4 linked regions of the Oryctolagus cuniculus genome follow. The protein of the gene in region 1 binds, or shares a complex with, the protein of each later gene. Links are inferred from orthologs where the notes say so. Each region holds a gene or a part of one and is shown on either strand. Other genes may lie near its edges.

Region 1 (5,175 bases):
AACTTTGTTCAACAACTTCCTCATAGAAAACCTGACAACTCCTTTTCTCCAATCTAAATTTGTCATCAAGTCTTTAGAATTCTGAGGAAGTTTGACCAGTGGTTAGACAATGGTTTGGTAGGGCATGGTAACCTAACAGTAATAGAGAAGAGCTCTCTTTTCATAATTTGAATGACAGGCACTTGAGTTTTATTTAACTACACTAATGCATTCTATTTAAATATATCTAAGTAGTTATAACTTACCTGTATCCATAGTATCAATATGAGTTTTTTGTCCAAGGGTAACTGTAACTCTAACTCTACATAATGTTTTAGTTTCTTTATCTGTATTGATTCTGATCTACTATTTTCTAATCACATAGTAATTTAGATAAACTTTTATTGAAGGATATTCTGGTTTCCTTATCTCTACTTTTTTATAAAGGACTGTTCTTCAGTTTTTACCTCCCCCATTTTATTTTTTGATAGTCCATAGTCAAAGGTATTTTTCAAGCCAGAAACTGAGAGGATATGTACTAATATAAATTTTATTCAGCCCATATAATGGAGGTAGAAGAGGATTTGCAAATTAACTTGATTTTATGTTTGCTCAATCTCCTACATACTGTCTTTGCATTATATATTAGTTTTTGTTGAATGTAGTTAATTTTGTCTTTTCAATAAGGTTGCTAATCTTTTATAGTCTAACTCACTCGAATAGCTATGAGTAAAGACTTTACAAACCACAATTAGTAATCTTAGGGTAAGGGTCCTGAAGCTATCATATATCGCATTAAATTAATCAGCTTAATGTTAAAGCATAAAGAATAAAAATGTAGTAGAGAACACTCCTTGTGATATTGATTTAAAAAGAATTTCCAAGGTCTCTGTCATTCATGATACATGACAAGGTAATCTGTCTAAAATCAATAGCTTCCAGCTGGTCCTTCAAAGTATTCAGGGGCAGTGTTTCTTATTTTCGATGCTCTGGTACATGAACTATTAATGAGGCGTAAAAAATAGAATCTCAATCAGTGGGTATGTCTGTCAACATTTACCCTCTAATTTTTGAGGGTGTAATTTTTCACAGAGAGCTGGCATGTTTCATATAGAATTCCTCATAGTTACCATACTCTCTGAATTTGGATGTCTTTGGGTGGAAGTCGCTCTCTTAAATGAAGCACCTCTCTGTCTACCCTCATATGTGATTGGAAACATATTCAGAAGTAAGAACAGTAGGTATGCAATGGTGACTTCCTTGTATGAATAGTATAAATTTCTAAATCTTTGATGAAGAATTAATGAGTTCTTTTACTATAAAAAAAATTTATTGACCCCATGTGTAAGGCATATGAGCAGAACTCATTAACAGATGATAAATTTCTTGGGTTTTGGAGAAGAGAAAATATTCTCAAAAATAATCTAGGAAGACAATAAATGATTATCATTTTTAATAGATGTGTACTTGCCATTTTAAATGTATAAGTGACTGAAGTATCTTCAGGAGATAAAATGTCACTATCATGGGATTATATATTTTTTCTAAATCACATGATTATATTGGTGTTTATCCTTTTGTAAGAGATTCTTCTTGTGTTATTTAAATAACATGTTAGCTTTACCAATCAAAGATTGTTTCATGGTATCCTGTTTTGTTAAATAATATTAGCTCCCTGAAAACTTCTGAGTTCGAAAACAGAATTTGAAATCTAGGGAGGATGCATTGCCCTGACAATTCTGTTTCACAGTTTTGTCTCTTTTTGCTTTATTAAAATCCCAATTGTACTGATGGCTGCCCAGGATTCTGAAGAGTTAGCCTCTTATTATTGGAAAGCATGAGCTAGTGGTCTGCACTTCTGTTTTCCCTTAACTATTCAATTCTCAGATATCGACCAGTGGAACAAAGTCATTGAGCAACTAGGAACGCCGTGTCCAGAATTCATGAAGAAATTGCAGCCTACAGTAAGAAACTATGTGGAGAACCGGCCCAAGTATGCGGGACTCACCTTCCCCAAGCTCTTTCCAGATTCCCTCTTCCCAGCAGACTCCGAGCACAATAAGCTCAAAGGTATGCCGGTCTGGGTGGCAGAGGGCCGCTGTGGGAGTGACCAGCTAAGCAAGCCTGTTGATATGAAGACTTTTCTTCAGCTAGAACTATGCTCACATTAGGGAGAGTCATTTCCTAAAATATCTTCTTACAAAGGGTTGGGTTGTAGCCAAGAACTTTAGAATTGTTGGGATATTCAGAGGGAAAAATAAGAATAAAATATGTCCCAGTGCTGTGTGTTAACTATTTCCTGGTGTATTTAAAATCTTAAATTTAGTATCTCAAGTGTAACTCTATGTGATCAATATATATTGAAATCAATGTTCTTACTTTTTATTATCTGGGAAAGATTTTCAAAATAGTTATTAGTTATGAAACCTTAGAGGCAGATGTCTGATTTTCTTTTGTTGTGTTTTGTATAGTGCTTACCCTCTATTTTTTTCAGTTTAGAGTAGTAATTGAGATTTCAACTGTACATTTTTATTCAATATAAACAGTTTTATTAGTGATTTTTTTCCTACTGTGTCAGCAGTTATCTAATTGGACAACAAATCTTGATCCACACCTTCACACACAAAATGGATCTAAGAATGTTGCAGTTTCATTTGCAGACCAGGAATAAATTTAACAGCAGCTGGAGTATAATACAGAAATATTCTAATTCTTATACTTTAGATACTCCTGAGAATATGATTTTGAAAGAATCATATTTTATTCCCCTGCCTGGTTTAAATTATGCCTTTATTCCTTAAAATATGTGGGACTCTGGGCAAGTTTCCTGACCCTCACTTCTTTTAACAAATGAAGGTATGCAGTTCCTACCATATAGGGTTGTTCACAGGATTGATTGACATAATAGCTTGTCAAACACTTAGAATAATACCTAGATGATGGCAAACGCTCAATCCCTATTAAATATAATATGTAATATAATATTTTAACAATATATCTACAAATTATTAAAAATAAGAGGATATATACTTTGAAATTTAAAAGCAAATGTTCAGTGTGTAATTATCTACAGATTTAACTTACAAATTTAAATAAATAGCTAAGTTAGGCTAAAATAAGACAGAAAAGCTAAAATGTGGTACTACTATTTTCTAGGATCTTTTTGTCTCCTCTAAACTTTTACCTGCTGGGTTTTAAATATGCAACTTTGTTTCTATTTTCTTGTAGCTTAAATTACATAATTGAATTTTCTACTACAGTTGACACTACGGTCTCTTAATGGCAATGAACTAAATTATTACCACATCTGTTTTTTTTTTTTTTTTAAGATAAACTTTTTCCTATATGCAGCTTGAAAAAGACCTAATACTTCAAATAGAGATCTTTTAGAATTTATGGCTTCACAATACTGAGATATTATCCAAAAGTTATCCTTTCTTATAAAAACACTTGCAATAACAATAGGGATTCAAGGCCGGTGCGGCGGCTCAATAGGCTAATCCTCCACCTAGCGGCGCCAGCACACCGGGTTCTAGTCCCGGTCGGGGCGCCGGATTCTGTCCCGGTTGCCCCTCTTCAGGCCAGCTCTCTGCTGTGGCCAGGGAGTGCAGTGGAGGATGGCCCAAGTGCTTGGGCCCTGCACCCCATGGGAGACCAGGAGAAGCACCTGGCTCCTGCCTTCGGATCAGCGCGGTGTGCTGGCCGCAGCGGCCATTGGAGGGTGATCCAACGGCAAAGGAAGACCTTTCTCTCTGTCTCTCTCTCTCACTGTCCACTCTGCCTGTCAAAAAAAAAGAAAAACAAAAAACAATATGGATCCAGCAAACTCCTCATTTAATTATAACATAGTTATGCCAACACTTATAGAAAAACTCTTAACTCAAATATCATGCTTCATAATGTAATTCCAAGTTTCTATAGTTTATTTTCAACTCAGTTTGAACCTCTACAGTTATTTTAGTTTTGTAAACTAGTGTTTTATATACTAAACTATTTTACATTTTTATGATTATTTAGTTTTATTTTTAATATAAAAGTAACAAGTTATAAAGAATATACAAATAATTAAAGGGAATGATTTGTTCAATTATATTTGGAAAATGCTTGCCAACAAAAGAATGAGAGGCATTGAAACATTTCTGTCATTTGTTTCCTCTGAATGGTGTTGGTCACTATTTCTGAGTGAGATGACTTGCTATTGGGATACTTCGTGCCCCTACTGAGGAGGAGTCCTTTCTGGCCCCTCCCCTTTCTAAGAGCAGGAACATTGATGGGTTTTATGGGAGAATCTGTGGGAGTAGGATACATAAGACTGTAGAGAAAATCAGTTAGAAATCAGAGATCTATGAATCAATGAAAGAAATAAATCCTTGATGGGTTATTGACAATCAGGAAGATTAAATATTGAAAATTAACATACAAGTATTTCTATATTTTGGTCATTCTGTGAGCCTCACAGTTTTAGTGACTGTAATGATAATCAAATCCCAAGATTATTGCCAACAATAATGGTTAGTAGAAATGAAATTTCTTTACATCTAATTTAGCTAGTGATTTTCCATATTAGAATATAATATTGAGAATTATATTTGTTAAAATATAAAATTATCAGAAAATATATTAAAGAATAGGTGAATAATAGATTAAAATAATAAAATAGTTAAAATTATGTGAAAAATATGTGAACAGCATTAGAAAAATATATGCCAATATACATGGATTGTTTAGCTAGGGAAATAATTAATATTTCTTTGTGTTTTATGTAATTTTCATATTTGTACAATTTACTCATTTTTCCTTAATTTGGAAAAAAATAAATATTGTTATATGTCAATGGATGTAAACATATTGACTTTCTTAAATCAGTTTAGATCTTATATTTACTTTGAAGTTTTACAATGTGTTTGGAACAAACTAAGTGTTTTCACTTAAACTTTTAACTCAATTGGATAATAATGTCGGTTTAATATATTTATTTTACCTATTAAAATTATATTTTATAAAACTACATATAATGTTAGAGATCAAAAATTAATGATTTTAAAGGTGTTATTAGATATACTTACTGATTATCATATATAAATTTATAACTGACATCGCCCACAACTATAAATTTAATAATGACAATGGGTACAAAATAGTTTTTTATCTGTATCTGGCATGGCATTGGGATGGCTTTTGCCATTAATCAAATCA
Region 2 (4,580 bases), on another chromosome or scaffold:
GCACCCACACGGGATGCCGGCGTGCTAAGCCACAGTGCCAATCCCAGGCCAGGCCAGGCCCTTCTGAGGTCCTCAGTTCCAACGGTGGGGTAGAGTGGAGACAGAGAAACCAGTCAGGAGTCGATGGAGTTGGAGGGTGGCTGTTGGCCTGCGGGCAGAGCTTGGAGAGTTCAGAGAAGCCCATTAAAGGAAGGTGGTCCAGGAAAACCCAGGTCTGCAGTAAGCACATGGCGACGAGTGAGCTACCCCAAAATCAGAAGTCACATGTGAAGTAGAAGTGGCTAAGAACTGGTTTAGGGACCACATTTTTAGAAGTAGTAACTATGAAGATAAGGAGTGGGGGGTCTGGGGAGGTAAAGAAGCCAGGTGAGCAGGGATTCCCAGAGGCGGCTGCAGTGACAGGGGTGGGCACCGCATCACCCAGCAGTCCGCGAGGAGCGTCAGGAGGGGGCAGGGTCAGAGGGAGCCAGAGTCTGAAGTCAGCAAAGAAATAGATTACCCAGCAGTCCTAGCGCCCAAATCCAGGACACTACCTTGATGACGTAAGGCTTTAGTCTTCCAAACTCTGCCGGAAGGACTCAGAGTTTCGTTCTGAATCATTAGTGAAATATTCTGGGGCCAGTGCTGTGGTGCTGCGGATTAACGCCGTGGCCTGAAGCGCTGGCATCCCATATGGGTGCTGGTTCTAGTCCCAGCTGCTCCTCTTCTGATCCAGCTCTCTGCTATGGCCTGAGAAAGCAGAATAAGATGGCCTCAGTCCTTGGGCCCCTGCACCCGCGTGGGAGACCTGGAGGAAGCTCTTGGCTTCAGATCAGCATAGTTCCAGCTGTTGCAGCCAATTGGGGAGTAAACCAGCGAATGGAAGATAGCTCGCTCGCTCTCCCCCTCTCCCCGCTCTGTGTGACTCTTTCAAATAAATAAAATCTTTAAAAAATACTATAAAAAGTTAGTGAAATGTATTTTTGTGGTTTCTGTGTATTTACAAGAGAAATCTGCCACCCACACACAGGTGGAGGAGCTGCAAACCCTCCTAGTGTGGCTGCTCTTCTGGAAGGGAGAAAGTGAAACAATGTTTCAACTGCGGGGAGCAGTTTTTCTGACAGTAATTCAGGAAGGGGTCTGGGAATTCACAGTGCAAGGGGGTTTCATGAGAACTGAGTAGCTGTTTTATTTGTAAATCTAGTGGAAGGGCCTTCTGGGAGCTTTTCTGTAGGACAGGAAATATTAACTAGGAAAAAAGTATTTCTCGTTCACAGTGCAAAGGGTTATGAGCTTTCCTGAAACCACGCACTCTGTCCCCCACAGCAGACTTCAGCGTGTAGCACACTGACACGGGGACATCTCCATGAGACACAGGGCCCAAGATGACCATCGGACTCCCAGACCTGAGTTTTCCTCCAGGTCCGAAGCCCACGTGCGCCCCAACTCCCAGGTAGCAGCCTCTTGGGGTGAGGAGGCAGCGCACAGCTCCGGCGCTTGCCAGCTTCCCTTCATCCCCGCCCGCTGCCTGCTCGCCGCTCACCGCAGCAGCGGAAGGGGAACCGGGTCCCTGCTGTCAGGATTCCCGACCAGGAGTGACAAATGAGAACAGGTGGCCACCACCTTCATGCCCCACCCTGCGCCAAGAACACTGGGATTTTCTTAACTGAAGTCGCCAAACACAAGGTTTCTTAAGCCGTTTTTATTACACTCAAGGTATAAGACAAGTACAAAATAATCTTGTAAGTAGGATATTGTATCAGTGAATAAAAAAGGAGAAATCACGCAGTATGAAGAGCTTTGCAAACGCCTAAGATGCAGACGCTGCGACGTAACACACAGCCTGAAAGGGAGAGGCTGCTTTTCCCCTCGTTCAGAAATGCTGGATTTCCCGAAACAAAACAGGGCCAAAATAAAATAAAATAAAATAGGGTGCTCTAAGTATGCGTAACCAAGAGAGGAAGAAAGATAAAGCGGTCTTAACACTACTATTAGCATACCAGACGCCACTGCTCCTGTTTGACAGCCTTTGCCAACACATGCCTACTCCCTTCCCTTTCAGGAACAGCTTCCTCTAAGGAACTCTAGTGCTGCAAACCCCTTAAATAATTTCCTTACGTTACAACCTACAGAGAAAGGAACACTGGTCAGTCTTGGAGAACAGTGGAAGCCATTCCTCACATGCACTTCTCGTCGAAGATCGGCTGGCTGGCAGGGTGAGGTCTCTGCTGTGGAACCTTCCCTCCTATTCTATGAAACGCCCCTTCCGTCCGCAGCCCCCCGCCCCCGCCCTGGCACTCATCCATCCCACCCCCAAAAGTGCAATTCCCGGTGACTTTTTTCTGCGGCCTCTGAACGCCATAGGAAGTGGATGACAGCAAACTCCGTTCTCGGTTTCTTGAAGCCTTCACTGGGTCAAAACGGTGCTCGGAACACCCTGAAAAGGGTGTCTGCTGGGGGAGGCAGTGGGGATGGGGAGGGGGCCTGGGGAATGAGGGAGGGAACACCTCCTTCCTCCCAGCCAGCCTGAGGGGCAGGTGCACGCCGGGCCTGGCTCCGCAGCTCTCCCAGGAACGCGGTACTGCTTCCACAGCGCCGGCACACAGGCCGCTGCGAGCCGGGCCCAGTCCACCCGCCACAGCAGCTCTGCTCCGAAACACCAGCCAGCTCAGGGGTCTTACCAGAACAATCTGCAGCCCCCAAGGTCGCTGAGACCTCATTAGTTCAGTTCAAAGTAAATGCTTAAGATTTGGCATAGAGTGAACAACTATTGGCACGGTGCTCTCCAGTTTCCTGTATAAATAGTATTCACAGGGCCACGGGCCGGGTCAGCCGATCTGCACCACGTTTATGTCGGCAATGAGCCCCTCTCTTCCCTTGGAGCACTGGAGGGAGAGCTGCTGCACCCGGCTCTCCAGGGCCTGGCCCTCCAGGGACACGCTGCTCGGGCCCTTCCGGCAGCCGCCGCCGCCGCCGCCGCCGCTGCTGAGACCCCGGCTGTGGCTGGCTTTGTCACTTGTCTTATTTTCTGCCCCTTCCGCCCTGTCTCCTGGGGAGATAGAGAGAGCTCAAGTGAGTAGATGGGCAGGGGCCAGGAGGCCCACTCAACCCGCGGGGCTCCAGGGGCTGCCCACTGCACAGAAAGGGCGGCTCCCACACTCGAGCCCTGGAGAGCACAGGGCCTGGGCTCTGGCAGGAGCCCCCTGGGGAGCACGGCAAAGGCGCACCCGGGGCCCAGGCGCCTGGCACTGGGGGGACCCTGAGACCCAGCCGAGGGGTGGAAGGGTACAGAGTGGCCTGCCACAGCGCGAGGCTCCATGGACAGGGCAAGGCTGCAACTCACCTCGTTCCACCTCGCACTCGGGGGAGGAGGCCCCGCTGCACTCACTGCGGGGGCCCAGCACTGGGAACATCAGCCCGAACTCCGACAGGGACACGGGGCTGGGCAGGTCCAGGCTGCCGGGCCTCGCCACCGCAGGGAACGGCTCGGCTGTCTCCGACGGGCTCGTGGGTCCGGAGCTGAAGCTGGACACCGACTGCGTTTCTGAGTCATCTTCAGACACGAAGTTGCTGCAGGTGTCGTCTTCAAAGGCCTCCGAGGCCACTGGGGCGAGGGGACAGTCAGTCACACGGGTGCTGACGGTCACCTGCCCCTTCGACTTCCCCTCCCAGGGTGCCCTGCTTCAGACACAGCGCAGGGAACACACTGCGGCCCTGCCAAGCCTCTCCGCAGCCGGAGCCCTGACATGAGGTCCTCGCGATACCCGTAACCCTGCCCTCCACCTGGAAGAGCAATCAGCGGCAGAGCGGCCCTCTTGTCCACCTGTGTCCCTGAGACACACAGCTGCACAGGAAGGGGTCTGGCCCCGCCCACGCCAGGCTGGCCAGCTCCCCTCTGGCCCTACAGGAAAAGCAAGAGCCACTGGAAGACTTGGCCCTGCGGAGCCTGCAGCTGGGGGTCTTTGTTAGCCCCCGCTAACTCCTGAGCTCCGCAAACATGCACTCAGTGCCTACCTGGGTCCCTGTTTGCTCCCTCCGCAGGGCTCTGGAGCTCCGCCTGCCCTGGGGACCAGGACCATCGAGGCCCAGAGGCAGGGCCCTGGCCTCGTCTCCAAGTCTCCTGGAGCCCGCACACAGCCCATGTGTTACTAGGTCTTTCCTCCTCCCTCGCCTTTAGAAACAGCCTGGCAGCTCCCACAGAGAATTACTCCAAATGACAAGGGCTTCAGGAACGTTGGGGACACAAAACAGGCTCAGACCTCAATCCAAACCCCAACTCCACACCTTGCTGAGTGGTAACCTAACTTCTCTGGGCTCCAGCTTTCTCTCCGTGGAGGATTAATGAGCGGTAATTCACACACAGTCGCTGCTTAGATGATGGTTCCCTTTTCCCTGAGAACTAAAGAAGTCCTGGGGAAGCGCCCATGGGCCTTGTAGCACAGAAAAGAGGGGTGCAGGCCAGTGCCGGAGGGGTCTCCTGATTCACCATGAGAAGCCAGGTCAGATCTGTTGGGTCCCTGCCTGCCACGCGGGAGACCAGTCTGGGATGACTTCCAGACTCACGGGACCCCAGCATCCTGGGAAGCCGTAGCCTGCTGAGC
Region 3 (5,888 bases), on another chromosome or scaffold:
ACTTGGCCATACTGAAAGTTGGGAGCTAGAAACTCAATCTGAATCTTGTCTTCCCTCATGGGTGGCAGAATTCAACTATTTGTAATAATCCATTGTTATCCTAGGTGTTCATTAGCAGAAAGCTGGAGTTGGGAGTGGAGTGGGACTTGAACTTAGGCAGTCTGATATGTGATATGGGTGTCCTAAGCAGTGTCTTAACACTAGGCTAAATGCCCATCTCCAAAATAAAAAATTTAAGTAGAAGCGTAGATGACTTCTTCTAGTTAATGCTAATTAAAGATAGTAGATGTTTGATGGACAACACATCTCTTCAATTTTTTACTTATTTGACAGTCAAAGAGACAGAAAACACTCCCATCCACTGGTTCACTCTCCAAATGCCCACAGTGGCCAGTGGTAGGGAGGGTCAGGAAGGAATAACACCAGGATCCAGGAACTCAATACAGGTCTCCCATTTGGGTGACAGGACCCAACAACTTCATCCTTCACTGCTGTCTCCTAAGGTCCACATCTGCACAAAGCTATAACATGGAGCTGGAGCTGGAGCAGGCAATGGAACCCAAGTAGTGTGATGTGAGATATGGACATCCTAACCGGTATCTTAACTGCCAGGCCAAATGCCCAATCTAGCATATCATTTTAAAAAAATACTCATTTAACTTCCAAATCCTGAATACCAATGAAAAGTACTCCCTCAATTTTTTGTGAAGGAGTTGCAGTAATAACTATTTCTACAGTTTAGTTAAAAAATAAAGATGGGGGCCAGCGCAGCAGTATAATGGGTCAAGCTGCCGCCTGCAATGCTGACATCCCACGTGGGTGCTGGTTCAAGAGCTGGCTGCTTAATTTCAATCCAGCTCCCTGCTAACATGCCTGGGAAAGTATGCAATAATGGCTCAAGTGCTTGGGCCCTTGCACCCACATGGGTGACTTGGAAGAAGCTCCTGAATCCTGGTTTCAGCCTTGCCCAGCACTGAGCTGTTATGGCCATTTGGGGAGTGAACCAGTGGATAGAAGATCTCTCTCCCTCTCTGTCTCTTCCTTTCTCTGAGTAACTCTGTCAAATAAATAAATAGATATTTTTAAAACATTAATAAAAAATAAAGATCTAACCTACTGGTTAAGATGCCATTGTCCCATATACAGGGGTTCCCAGTACCCAGGTTTGATAACTGGCTCCAGCTTCTGTTTCCAATTGATGTAAACCCCAGAAATCAGAAGTGATGGCTCAAGTAGTTGGGTCCCTGCTACCCACATGGAATACTTGGACTGAGTTCCTGTCTCTTGGCTTCTGCCTGGCCCAGTCCCAGAGGTTGTAGGCATTTGAGGAGACAACAAGCAGGTGGGAGTTCTGTCTCTCTAACAAACTTCAAAACAAATTTAATGAAAGAAACCAAAATCCCACATAAAAAAGTTAATGAAGGAATTTCTGCAATGTTTTTGATAGTACAGTGCCCCAAATACAAAACCAACATTCTAATAAGGTATTTGAAAAAGAGTTTACATGAAATTCTACCAGATCTACATAGGCATTACGTACCTTAAACACACAGAAAAAAAAAAGTCCCTGAAAACTCCAGACAATTAAAATTTTAAAAACTTAAGTTCTAAACTACACATATACATTTCAATTTAAAAAAAAAAAACAGCAGCAACATCCTCTCAAGTCAAGATTAAACATGTCTTAGGAAGGCAGCATAAATATCACTGTAGATGTGGAAGATTCTTGCAAATTATTTTACAAAGACCAGCATTCTCAACTATTGACCTTAAAGATCCATGAGCTTTGTTAAGTCTTTTTGACTTGCAGAAGGGTGTAGTGTATTTTTTTTAACATACTTTACAGAAAGTTCCCATCATTTTGATAAAAGTGTTTACAGTCGATTCTTTAAACCAATGAAACAAACTGTGTTTCTAGTTCAGAGTTCTTTTGACAAGGCTTTATAAACAAAGTCTTACCTTCATAATTTCGGTACAACAGATCTGGGCTACTTGGCTATTGAACATTATGCCTAATATGGTTATTACTGACACTGGCAATGCCAGTGGTTACGAATTTCTTCAAGTAAGAAGTGTGCTCAGAGAAGCAGTTTTTGTTCTGATTTCAAATATATGCATTAAGTATATACATGGTGACTGCCTCCATAATTCATAACTTTCACATTATAATTTAGGATTAGTCAATAGCCCTGAGGTCCATCAGGGGTAATTTATTTTGCTCCACCGTATTCGAGGTAATTTTATACTACCTGGGAGTACAAGTCGTCCCCTGCCCCTCCTCCTCAGTCCTCCTCCTAGCTTCTGATCTAGGAACCAGCATACAACACACACACATACACACACACACACACACATATACACCTCGTCCTCTCTCAGTCCTAGACCCTAGGGTACCGATTTAAAAAAAAAAAAAAATCCCCATAGAAGATCTGTAGTCCACCCAGGGAAGCAAACGAAGAGGGAAAATACCAGAATCAGTCTGCACCCACACCTTGGCCCCGCCCCACCTGGAAAAACTGGGGGGTGGCGGGAATGTGAGGGTGGCAGAAAGGACAGAAAGGGCCGCGACTCCAGGCTCCCAGGCTCTCGCCACCATTCATTTCGTCAGGTTCCGCCGAAGGCAGGGACCCTGACCCTATTTTCAGCCTCGCCTCGCGATCCTCCTCCCCGCCACCATCACAAACCCACGGTCCTCAACCGCAAGAGTCCTGCGTGGAGAGAGACCATAGTGGGCCCTGCTCCTGCCCAATCCAAGGGCTGAGACGGGGGTGTCTCCCCCCGCCCCGCGCACTCGGCGGGCCCGACGCCCCGGGGGCCCCGGAACCGACCAGGGAAAGGGAGGCAAGATCGGAGGGAGGGGTCTAAGGGGAGCCGTTATCCCTTTTTCCTCTTCGTTAGGAAAGCGCGCGAGAGGGAGGGGCCGGAACAACGAACGCCAGTTACCTAACGGTCCGGCCCGGCCGGTCAGGCTCCCGACGCGGAAGCCGCGCGCGCCGCTGAGATGGCAGCACAGCCTCGCTCGCCCCCAGGGCTAGGGACCACGGCAGGAGCGCCAGGGGTGATGAGGCGGGGGATGGGGACTATGGTGAGCGACGTCGCCATGTTAGCGCCTTCTTTCTCTTTCCCTACGGTCGCCAGCCCTGCGGCCCTCTCCCCATCACTACTCACCTTTGCAGGTCACTGGCTCATGATCCTTTCGGTCGCCCAGGAGCCCGAGGACAGCCGTGTTTACAAACTACCCCGGAGGAAAGGGCTGAACCGCACTTTAAAGGCCACGGGCTCCCACAGGCTTCCGTCCTCTCTCGCGAGATCAGACTGACAACCCTTCTCTCCGCCCCACTCCCAGCATCCCCCCTTTCTTCTCGCGTCCCGGCCCGCCACGCACACGCCCCTTCTTGCCTTCCTTCTGAGGGAGCGCCTCCGGGTCAGGTGATTCCGTCAAGCTTAAGGAAATGGGCGGGCCCTCAGGAGGGCGGGGACGGAGGGGGCGGGAACAAAAGAACACCCGGGCGCAGATGATTGGAGAAGGAGCCTGAAGGGCGGGAAGCAGTTCTGGAAGGGGCGGGATCAGAGAACCCAAGGAGCGTCGTCTCGGTAACCCTGGAGCTGCGGAAGGCTGTGATTGGCAGCCAGCTGGAGGCGGGCGCGGGTGCTGGGGCGCCGGAGCAGGTGGCTGTGTAGGGCGCGGGAGGGTGTCGGGCTTGGCTTGTGAGACACGGCGAGTGGCTGGAAAGAAAGCAGGACGCGTTCTCCGAGCCCAGCTCTGAGATCTCACCCTATTTCCGTTGCTGTCACTTCCTGGCCCCGGTAGGGAGGTGGGAAAATCGAGGGGAGGGGAGCCTCTAGCCCACCTCCCAGCTACCCGGAAGACTGGGAGGGGGAGCTTCGGTTCGGCTGAGATTTGGGAGAGGCGGAGTTTGCCGATAATCAAGCAAGAGAAGTGGGTTCTGAAACGAAAAGAAAAAGCCTTTACCTTGGATGAGTTTTCTTTGAATTTACTAAGCTATAACTGGAACTGGGTTTTCGGAGTTCTTTTTCCCAGCACCTAGTACAGTGTAGGATATTAGCATGTAATTTTGTTTGAAGTAATTTACCAAAATACACTGTATTTCCAGTATATCACCATCATTTAAAAACTAAGCAACGACTTGTTTCTAAGAGCAAAGCCTCCATATTAAGTGTATTCTATTTTATTATTTTTCCTTTTACAGATAAAAATATATCAATTTTAATAGAGCTGACTTTAGCCCTTTAAAACTGCAACAACCCCCTATTAACGTTTCCTAGAGGACCAAAAAACACCAAATTAGAGTATGACATGGAAATAGCACCCTTCTTTGTTTCTCTGCCTCTTACATAAGTAATAAGACAACTACATACCACATTGGAGTACGTGGTTTGCTTCCTGCTAATGGACCCTTAGTGACAACAGTGATGGCTTAAAATCAGGTTCCTGAGCGCACATGGGAGACCTGGATTGGGTTCCCAGCTCTTCCTGTGGTCCTGGCCCAGCCCCAGGCATTGCAGGCATCTGAGCAGTGAACCAGTCTATCAAATAAATAATGAAAAATTTAAAAAGCAAGCAGTTCCTGCTTGTCTGTAGCTAAATATAACCCAGAATACTATACACTAGGGTATCTCCTATGTCTGCATAACTCCTATGTCTTGCCTAACTAATCTGTGGCTGAGGGAGAGAACCTCTGGATTTTCATGGTATCCTGAAGATGTAGCCTAATACAAGGGATTAATTGGGATTTTACTAGTGGGATCAAGAGGTAGGGAGTTAGAGGTGTGTGTGTGTGTGTGTGTGTGTGTGTGTGTAGTGAAATAGCAGGGGGAAGCAAGGCATAAATAACCCCCTGAATCTGAGATGAGATGAGGCAGCATGGACCTAGACAGTTTAGTTGATTTGTTTCGTAGCTTTCATCTCATGGCAGATCTTTCTTGACCCACTCTTGACAGCCCAGGGTTTTCCTGAACATTCCTGACATGGCCCATGTTAAAGTTACCTCCTCAGCACATGTCCACTTAGAAATTTCTACTTAGGACATTTCAAGTGCAGAGATGTCCAATCCAAATCCTTGGGTTATCAGAAAAATGTATAGTCAATTGTGTCACTGTGGGAAAAAAATTAGAGAGCTGTACTCACCTTCAAATCATACCCATGAGCTATGCCAGCTTCAGTGCAACCAGCCCAGAGAGGGAGAACAGAATTTAAGATGGCTTTTTCTTTAGCTCTCATCTGACTCTATAGAAAGAGGGATCACCTTCATTATATTCTGCTCTCCCCACACTTCCAAGGTATCAGTAAAAGTGGGTGAAACCCTCCCTAGTGTAGAGTTGTGTAGCATCCGAGTATCTACCCTTTGTGGCTCCCAGTAACCAGTCTATTTGTCAAGTTGAGGCCTACATAATGACAAAGCCATGGATTCCTTATGCCAGAAACCAAGACAGGTCTGTCTGGTCCTGTGGTTCCTCCTGGGTCCTTGGAACTAACACCCTGTTCTTTCCAATTACCTTCTTCCCTTGCATACAGCCTCTTAGGTCAACTGTCAACTGACTTCTCAGTGTCTGTGCTCATAAAGCATCTGTATATATTGGCATGAACATGCCATGCACTGTTCCTGGCTGTGAGGCTGCCACTATAAATAAGATGAAGTCCCTTAAGGAGACTTTGTGGCGTGAGGAGGGATGAGGAGGCACATGACATACATCAACAAAAAGATAATTTAATAGTGGTTAAGTACCACGGAGAAAATAGGGTATGATAACAGGGAGTACTGAAAGCTATGTTGTTTGACAAAAAGAGAACTTGAGAGTAACAGATACTGTAGAGAGGTCTAGTGAGGGGGGCAGTTCTGTGAGCTGTTCCCAGAAAATACTGCTGT
Region 4 (5,175 bases), on another chromosome or scaffold:
TCAGATGTTGGTTGGCACCTGGTTGCCTGGTGAGGACACGGGGTGGGGGTTGGGGGGACCTCCTTAGAGTGAGCCACCACTCAGCAGGTGTCCTGAGACTGCCTCCCGCCCCCATGGCCAGGACCCAGGCAGGAGTGGGCTGGGGCAGTGGGGTGGGCAGCACCCAGACTCCTGCAGGAAGAGGGGCCTCTGAGGTCAAGTGAGGCTCAGAGGTCAGGAAGCGACCTTGCTCTCATCCAGAGAGGCCAAGCAGGTGTGGCTGATGGGCAGCGACAGCGCAGGAGGGGGTCGTAAGACAGAGCAGGGCGGGTGGCCTCCTGGTGCCCAGGGCTCAGGTTTCCATGGGAAGGAGGATAGGGCAGGGTTGAGAAGGGACCTTCCTCCTCCCACCCCTCCATCCATCCTTCCTTCCTCCCCAACGGGCGCCTTCCATGATCCCCGCGGGACCAAGGGTCTGATAGGATTTAGGCTGGGTCACCGGGACATCAGTGTTTGGAGAAGAGGGAGGAGGGAGCAGGGTCCTGGGGAGGGTTGTGGCTTGCATAGGGGACACCTTGGTTGATTGCTCCCCCCACCCCCACCCAGTCCTTGGTGGTCCCTTCTGGTCCTCCTCACCTGCCCCCTGAGGTTGGTGGGCAGGGGGATGGGTGGCCTCCCTCTGTATGGGGGATGCTGAGGCCGGAGATGAGCCCCTCGTGTCTGAGCCTTGGTGTTCCTCATCTGCTTAACGGGTGGCAAAGAGCCCTCCCGCAAGATCATGGTGAAGGTTGAGGTGAAGGTGCACGGAGTAAGGGTCGAAGGCTAGGGCCGGCAGCTGCTTCTCAGTGAGTCGGGGTTTGGTCTGAGCCCTCCTGCCCCAAGCTCCCACCGGAGGTCAGGGCAGCACTGGGCCCAGAGAAGCCGGGCACAGGATTCGGCCCCTAGCAGGTCGCCTTCAAGGGCTGTGGGGTTTTTTGTTTTATTCATTTGAAAGGCAGAGAAACAGAGAGCTTCCTTCTGTCGGTTCACTCCCCCAAATGACAGCAACAGCTGGGGCTGGGCCAGGCCAAAGCCAGGAGCCTGGAACTGCATGCGATGCCCCACGTGGGTGGCAGGGGCCCCAGTACTTGGGGCCATCTTCTGCTGGGTTCCCATAGCAAGAAGTTGGATCGGAGGCGGTGCAGCTGGGACTCGAACCAGTGCTCCAATGCAGGAAGCTGGTGTTGCAAGCGGTGGCTTAACCTGCCGCACCCAACACCGGCCTCACCTTGGAGGGTTTTGAGCAGGGCCAAGATGGGTGATGGTGTTTCCAGCAGTTTTGCCTGATGGTGGTGGGTGGGGTGGTACAGGATTGGGGAGACTGAGGCAGGGAAGGCCCTGGAGGGGTCTGGGAGGGCAGAGGCAGGCCCTGGACTAGGGCTCAGCCGTGAGGATGTGCTGACGTATGCAGGGGGCATCTCCTGTGGCTCCGGGCGACACTGGCTGGGTCCGGGGCCCCTGTGTGCTCGCTGCTTTTGTATTTGGGGGTTCTCATCCGAGGTCCAGAGGTGCTGCAGGGCCCTGGCTGGACTTGGGGGCCACTCTGGCTTCTGGACCAGGCCTTCCTACTTCCACATACACTGCGGGGTGGGGGGGGGCCTGGGAACCAGCACCCCTAGGCTGCCGGTCAGAAGGGGCCTTAAAGAGCCCCTGCTGTGTGGCTCCGTCCGGAGGCCTCCGGGTTCTGTTGATGTCACTGCAAGGTGACAGGGAGCTCGTGACCACCCTGCAGCCCTCCAGCTGGGCTCCGAGGAGCCCCAGCACCAGCCTGCTCCTATCTCTGCCTCCAGAGTCCCCTGTACCCCTTGGCCCTTCCTTCCTGGCTCCAGAGGCAACCCTAGGCCTGGCTGGGGTAGGTCGGGACCTGCCTGCGTCCACAGAGTCTCCGTGATGCTGGGTGAGGCTGGGGTATCCGTTCTCGGGGATTTCGGGGCGCCTCCCCATCTCCCACCTGGCTCCCTGAATGTGGTGCTGGCCCTTTAAAACAGAGCAGGGGCTGGGTTTTAGGGGGAAACTTCCCAGATTTCTGCCATCTGTGTACCAGCCTGGGCCGGAGAGGGGGGCCCTGGCCCTGGACAGGGGCATTGGAAGGGCAGGTGGAGCCCGTAGCATTGATCGCGGTAACCTGATCCCGCGGCAGAGGCGGCGACAGAGCCTTGGCCGCTGCGGCTTCGCCATGGGCCGGCTGAGGGAGGCTGCCTGCGGCTGAGGGCTGGGCCGGGAAGGGCTGGGGCTGGGCCCGGGTCGGCAGCTGCTGCCTCCTCTCCCTGCCCATTTATTTTTAATGAGCTCCTGGGCTTCTGCAGCGGGCAGGAGGCAGAGGGGCAGGCCCAGGCGGTGGAGGCCGGCGGCCCTAGCCCTGCCTTGAGCCCCGGCCGCCCCCCCCCTTTCTGGGCATGAGAGGGCAGCCCTGGGGCCCCGCAGCCCCCCGGCCGGGCAGGGCTGTCCATGCAGCTGGTGCTGAAGATGGATTCGAGCCCCGACAATGACAGCTGGTTGGAGGACCAGTGGGAGCGCTGGTAGGGGGTGTGGGGGTGGGGCCGGGTGTCGCGGGGAGCTCCGTGGAGCTAAGGGTCTCTGTTTGGTCTGATTGAGGTGAGAGGCAGGGGTGTGGGCCTCCCATGTTCCCCTGGGCGCTGGGCCGCTACCTCTCCTGGGTGACCTTGGACCAGTGGGTTTGCCTTGCCCTACGCCTGCCTCCTGGTGTTACCTGGGGGGAAGGCTCCGACATTCTCTCCAACTTCCCACACCACACCAGGGCTGGGGAGGAGCCGGGCAGGGACAGGCAGGGCCCGCAGTGGGAGGCCCAGCCCTGCTCTCCAGGGTGGGTGCACGGAGCTGGCCCAGGCCGTGGGAGGTGAGGCTGCAGTGTCGAAGTGGCACCCGAGCTCCTGGCACCTCCAGCCCCAGCCGGGAGCCTCTCTCGACCCCACCAGGGCAGGTTCCTGTTCTGGGTCCTTAGCCTGGGCACGGAGGAAGCAAGAGTTGAGCCCAAGCACACAGGGTGGAGGCACAGCCTCTCCTGGAGTGGACGCCAGATTCCCATTCACTCATTCTCAGGGCTCACGGTCATGGGCACTCTGGGCTGGGGGCGTGGAGCACTCCTGTGAGCCTGCTGCACCCCTGCCGACCCCTTGGGTCTCCGTACTCCTTACCCCTTGGATTGCGTGGGGACCTTCCTACCCCAGGTGGCCTTGGCCTTCTCTGCAGGTGCCCTTGTCTTGGCACCTGCCTTGACCCTGGCAGAGCTGAGGCTCTGACCTCTGGGCCTTCTAGGCACCACCTGGGGGTTGGCAGCAGGTGCACAGCTCCCAGCCGGGAGGAGCAGGAGTGACCCGGAGCCTCCCACCCCACAGCTGCCCTAGAGGACTGCCTTTGGGCATGTCCCTACTTGGTGACCGCCTCCCACATGGGAGCAGCTGGACCCCGGGTCCCACCCTCCGGAGCCGACGATCGGCCTGTTTGTTAGAGGCTGCCCTTTGGCAGGCCTGGCCGACCCTCTGGGTTGTAACTCTGGCTTCCTGTCCCCCCCAGGCTCACCCACGACATCAGCCTCGAGGAGTTTGAGGATGAAGACCTCTCAGAGATCACTGACGAGTGTGGCATCAGCCTGCAGTGCAAAGACACCCTGTCCTTCCGGGTAAGGGCGGGCTCCTGGCTCCCCGGAGACCCCGAGTAGGGCGGCAGATGGGTGGGGATGGGAGGGAGGCCCCCAGGCTACAAAGGGGGCTTTCAGGTCCGGTGGCACCCTCATGAAACGGTGTGCAGGCAACACCCAGTGCAGCGCTTGGCACGTCTTGGGTGCGCAGTCAGAATTTGATTTTTCTGCCCCAGGGGCTCAGGCAGGAAGCCGGAGGCCTTGAGATCCAGGAGTGGGGCAGGAGGGCCAGAGTCCCTTGGGGAGCCGTTCCTGGCCGGGAGCCTCAGGCAGAGCAAGGGTGGAGTCTGGGACTCTGCAGTGCTTTGGGGACAGGACAGAGGCGCCAGGAATGACCCGGAAGAACTCCTATGGCTGCTGGCTGCCAGTGCGCCGTACCACGCCGAGGCCCTCACGGAGGGCGTGGCCCAGCATTGCTGATGCTTTGGGCCCTTTGGGCCTGGCACAGGGAAGATGGCTGTCTCCCGGCGCGGCCAGGAGGCACTCAACAGCCTCGGTCTTGCAGAGCAGGAAGAAGGAGCCAGGTAGCCCGCAGGACGAGGGCCAAGCTCGGGGCTGGGTTTGAGAGCCCTGCACTTCCTTCCGCCCCCAGGAGGGCGGGAAGCCAGATGTGGTATTGGGGTGGGGGGCTGCCATGAGGGTCGCGGGAGAGGCACCAGTCTCTGTGCAGACCTCTTGCTACCCGCGGAGGTTCTGTAAGCTCTTCCAGGCAAGAGACAAGGGGTGAGGAATCCTCCAGTCCTTACTGCAACCCTCTAGCCTGTGGCCAAGTCAGGAAGGAAGGGACACAGAGACCACTTACTGTGGACCTGGGGAGGGGTCCCAGGGCCCTGACGAAGCTTCCCTCCGAGGCCATGCACCTGTCTGGAGTCTCACGCCACCCTCTCCCCACCATGCACCGTCAGGGCCTTGGAGAGGGCGGGCCCTGCATTTAGCTGGGGCCCCGGGGGAGCACTGGCTGTGGGACGGGGGCGGTGGCCTTAGATGCGCCCCAGGGGCTCTCAGACACGCTTGCCAGGAATGGAAGGGTCAGGGGATCTGTCCAAGGTGCCAGGCAGGCAGTGGCAGAGCTGGAACTGGGAGGGGCTGTCCCCTAGGAAGGCAGGGCTAGCTTGCCCATGGAGAGGCCTGGGCCCCTGGGGTCCGACCGCCCCTGTCCCCCGCCTCGGCGACCCTCTTCCGGCGCTCCCAGGGACTCCAGTCCGCAGTACGGCCCTCCTCTCCTGGCCAGAGACTCGGTTTTCCCAGGGTCCCTCCTAGACTTCTTCAGATACAAATGTGCGCCCCCTTCTCCCCAATCTCTTGCGGGGGCCCAGCTCCTCGGGCGACCCCACGTCTCCATGGCAACAGCGGTGACTTCATTCTGGGAGCTGCTTACAGCCCGGGTGAGGTCATCGGCCGTTGCCAAGGGAACGGGAGGGTGCAAGGAGCCGGAAGGGGGGTCCGCGGGGAGGGGAGAGGGTGGTGTTCTGCAAAGGGGGCGATCGGGCGGGGAGGGG

The links.
Region 2: the proteins of MAPK10 (region 1) and SH3BP5 are in contact, whole or in part, in a crystal structure (PDB 4H3B), measured with the Homo sapiens proteins. The link is inferred for Oryctolagus cuniculus from reciprocal best matches to the Homo sapiens genes MAPK10 and SH3BP5. Residues at the interface, in NP_620448.1 of Homo sapiens: Lys121, Asp150, Ala151, Gln155, Val156, Met159, Leu161, Glu164, Arg165, Tyr168, Tyr171, Val197, Lys198, Ser199, Asp200, Cys201, Trp362, Asp364, Glu367; in NP_004835.2 of Homo sapiens: Val341, Val342, Arg343, Pro344, Gly345, Ser346, Leu347, Asp348, Leu349, Pro350.
Region 3: the proteins of MAPK10 (region 1) and ATF2 are in contact, whole or in part, in a crystal structure (PDB 4H36), measured with the Homo sapiens proteins. The link is inferred for Oryctolagus cuniculus from reciprocal best matches to the Homo sapiens genes MAPK10 and ATF2. Residues at the interface, in NP_620448.1 of Homo sapiens: Asp150, Ala151, Gln155, Met159, Glu164, Arg165, Tyr168, Val197, Lys198, Ser199, Asp200, Cys201, Trp362, Glu367; in NP_001243019.1 of Homo sapiens: Lys48, His49, Met51, Thr52, Leu53, Lys54, Phe55.
Region 4: the proteins of MAPK10 (region 1) and MAPK8IP1 are in contact, whole or in part, in a crystal structure (PDB 3PTG), measured with the Homo sapiens proteins. The link is inferred for Oryctolagus cuniculus from reciprocal best matches to the Homo sapiens genes MAPK10 and MAPK8IP1. Residues at the interface, in NP_620448.1 of Homo sapiens: Asp150, Ala151, Gln155, Val156, Met159, Leu161, Glu164, Arg165, Tyr168, Leu169, Tyr171, Val197, Lys198, Ser199, Asp200, Cys201, Trp362, Asp364, Glu367; in NP_005447.1 of Homo sapiens: Pro158, Lys159, Arg160, Pro161, Thr162, Thr163, Leu164, Asn165, Leu166.

Annotation. Positions count from the first base shown.
Region 1 is NC_091439.1:81,337,171-81,342,345, reverse strand, and holds part of MAPK10 (mitogen-activated protein kinase 10), read left to right. Parts: intron 1-1,866; coding exon 1,867-2,049; intron 2,050-5,175. UniProt on the Homo sapiens protein: Serine/threonine-protein kinase involved in various processes such as neuronal proliferation, differentiation, migration and programmed cell death.
Region 2 is NC_091435.1:150,920,772-150,925,351, forward strand, and holds the end of SH3BP5 (SH3 domain-binding protein 5), read right to left. Parts: intron 3,584-4,580; coding exon 3,323-3,583; intron 3,029-3,322; coding exon 2,808-3,028; 3' UTR 1,667-2,807; downstream 1-1,666. UniProt on the Homo sapiens protein: Functions as a guanine nucleotide exchange factor (GEF) with specificity for RAB11A and RAB25. Inhibits the auto- and transphosphorylation activity of BTK. Plays a negative regulatory role in BTK-related cytoplasmic signaling in B-cells.
Region 3 is NC_091434.1:65,972,169-65,978,056, reverse strand, and holds the start of ATF2 (cyclic AMP-dependent transcription factor ATF-2), read right to left. Parts: upstream 3,451-5,888; 5' UTR 3,400-3,450; exon of another isoform or gene 3,169-3,399; intron 3,030-3,168; exon of another isoform or gene 2,944-3,029; intron 1-2,943. UniProt on the Homo sapiens protein: Transcriptional activator which regulates the transcription of various genes, including those involved in anti-apoptosis, cell growth, and DNA damage response.
Region 4 is NC_091432.1:20,071,423-20,076,597, reverse strand, and holds part of MAPK8IP1 (C-Jun-amino-terminal kinase-interacting protein 1), read left to right. Parts: intron 1-2,069; exon of another isoform or gene 2,070-2,466; coding exon of another isoform or gene 2,467-2,537; intron 2,538-3,552; coding exon 3,553-3,658; intron 3,659-5,175. UniProt on the Homo sapiens protein: The JNK-interacting protein (JIP) group of scaffold proteins selectively mediates JNK signaling by aggregating specific components of the MAPK cascade to form a functional JNK signaling module. Required for JNK activation in response to excitotoxic stress.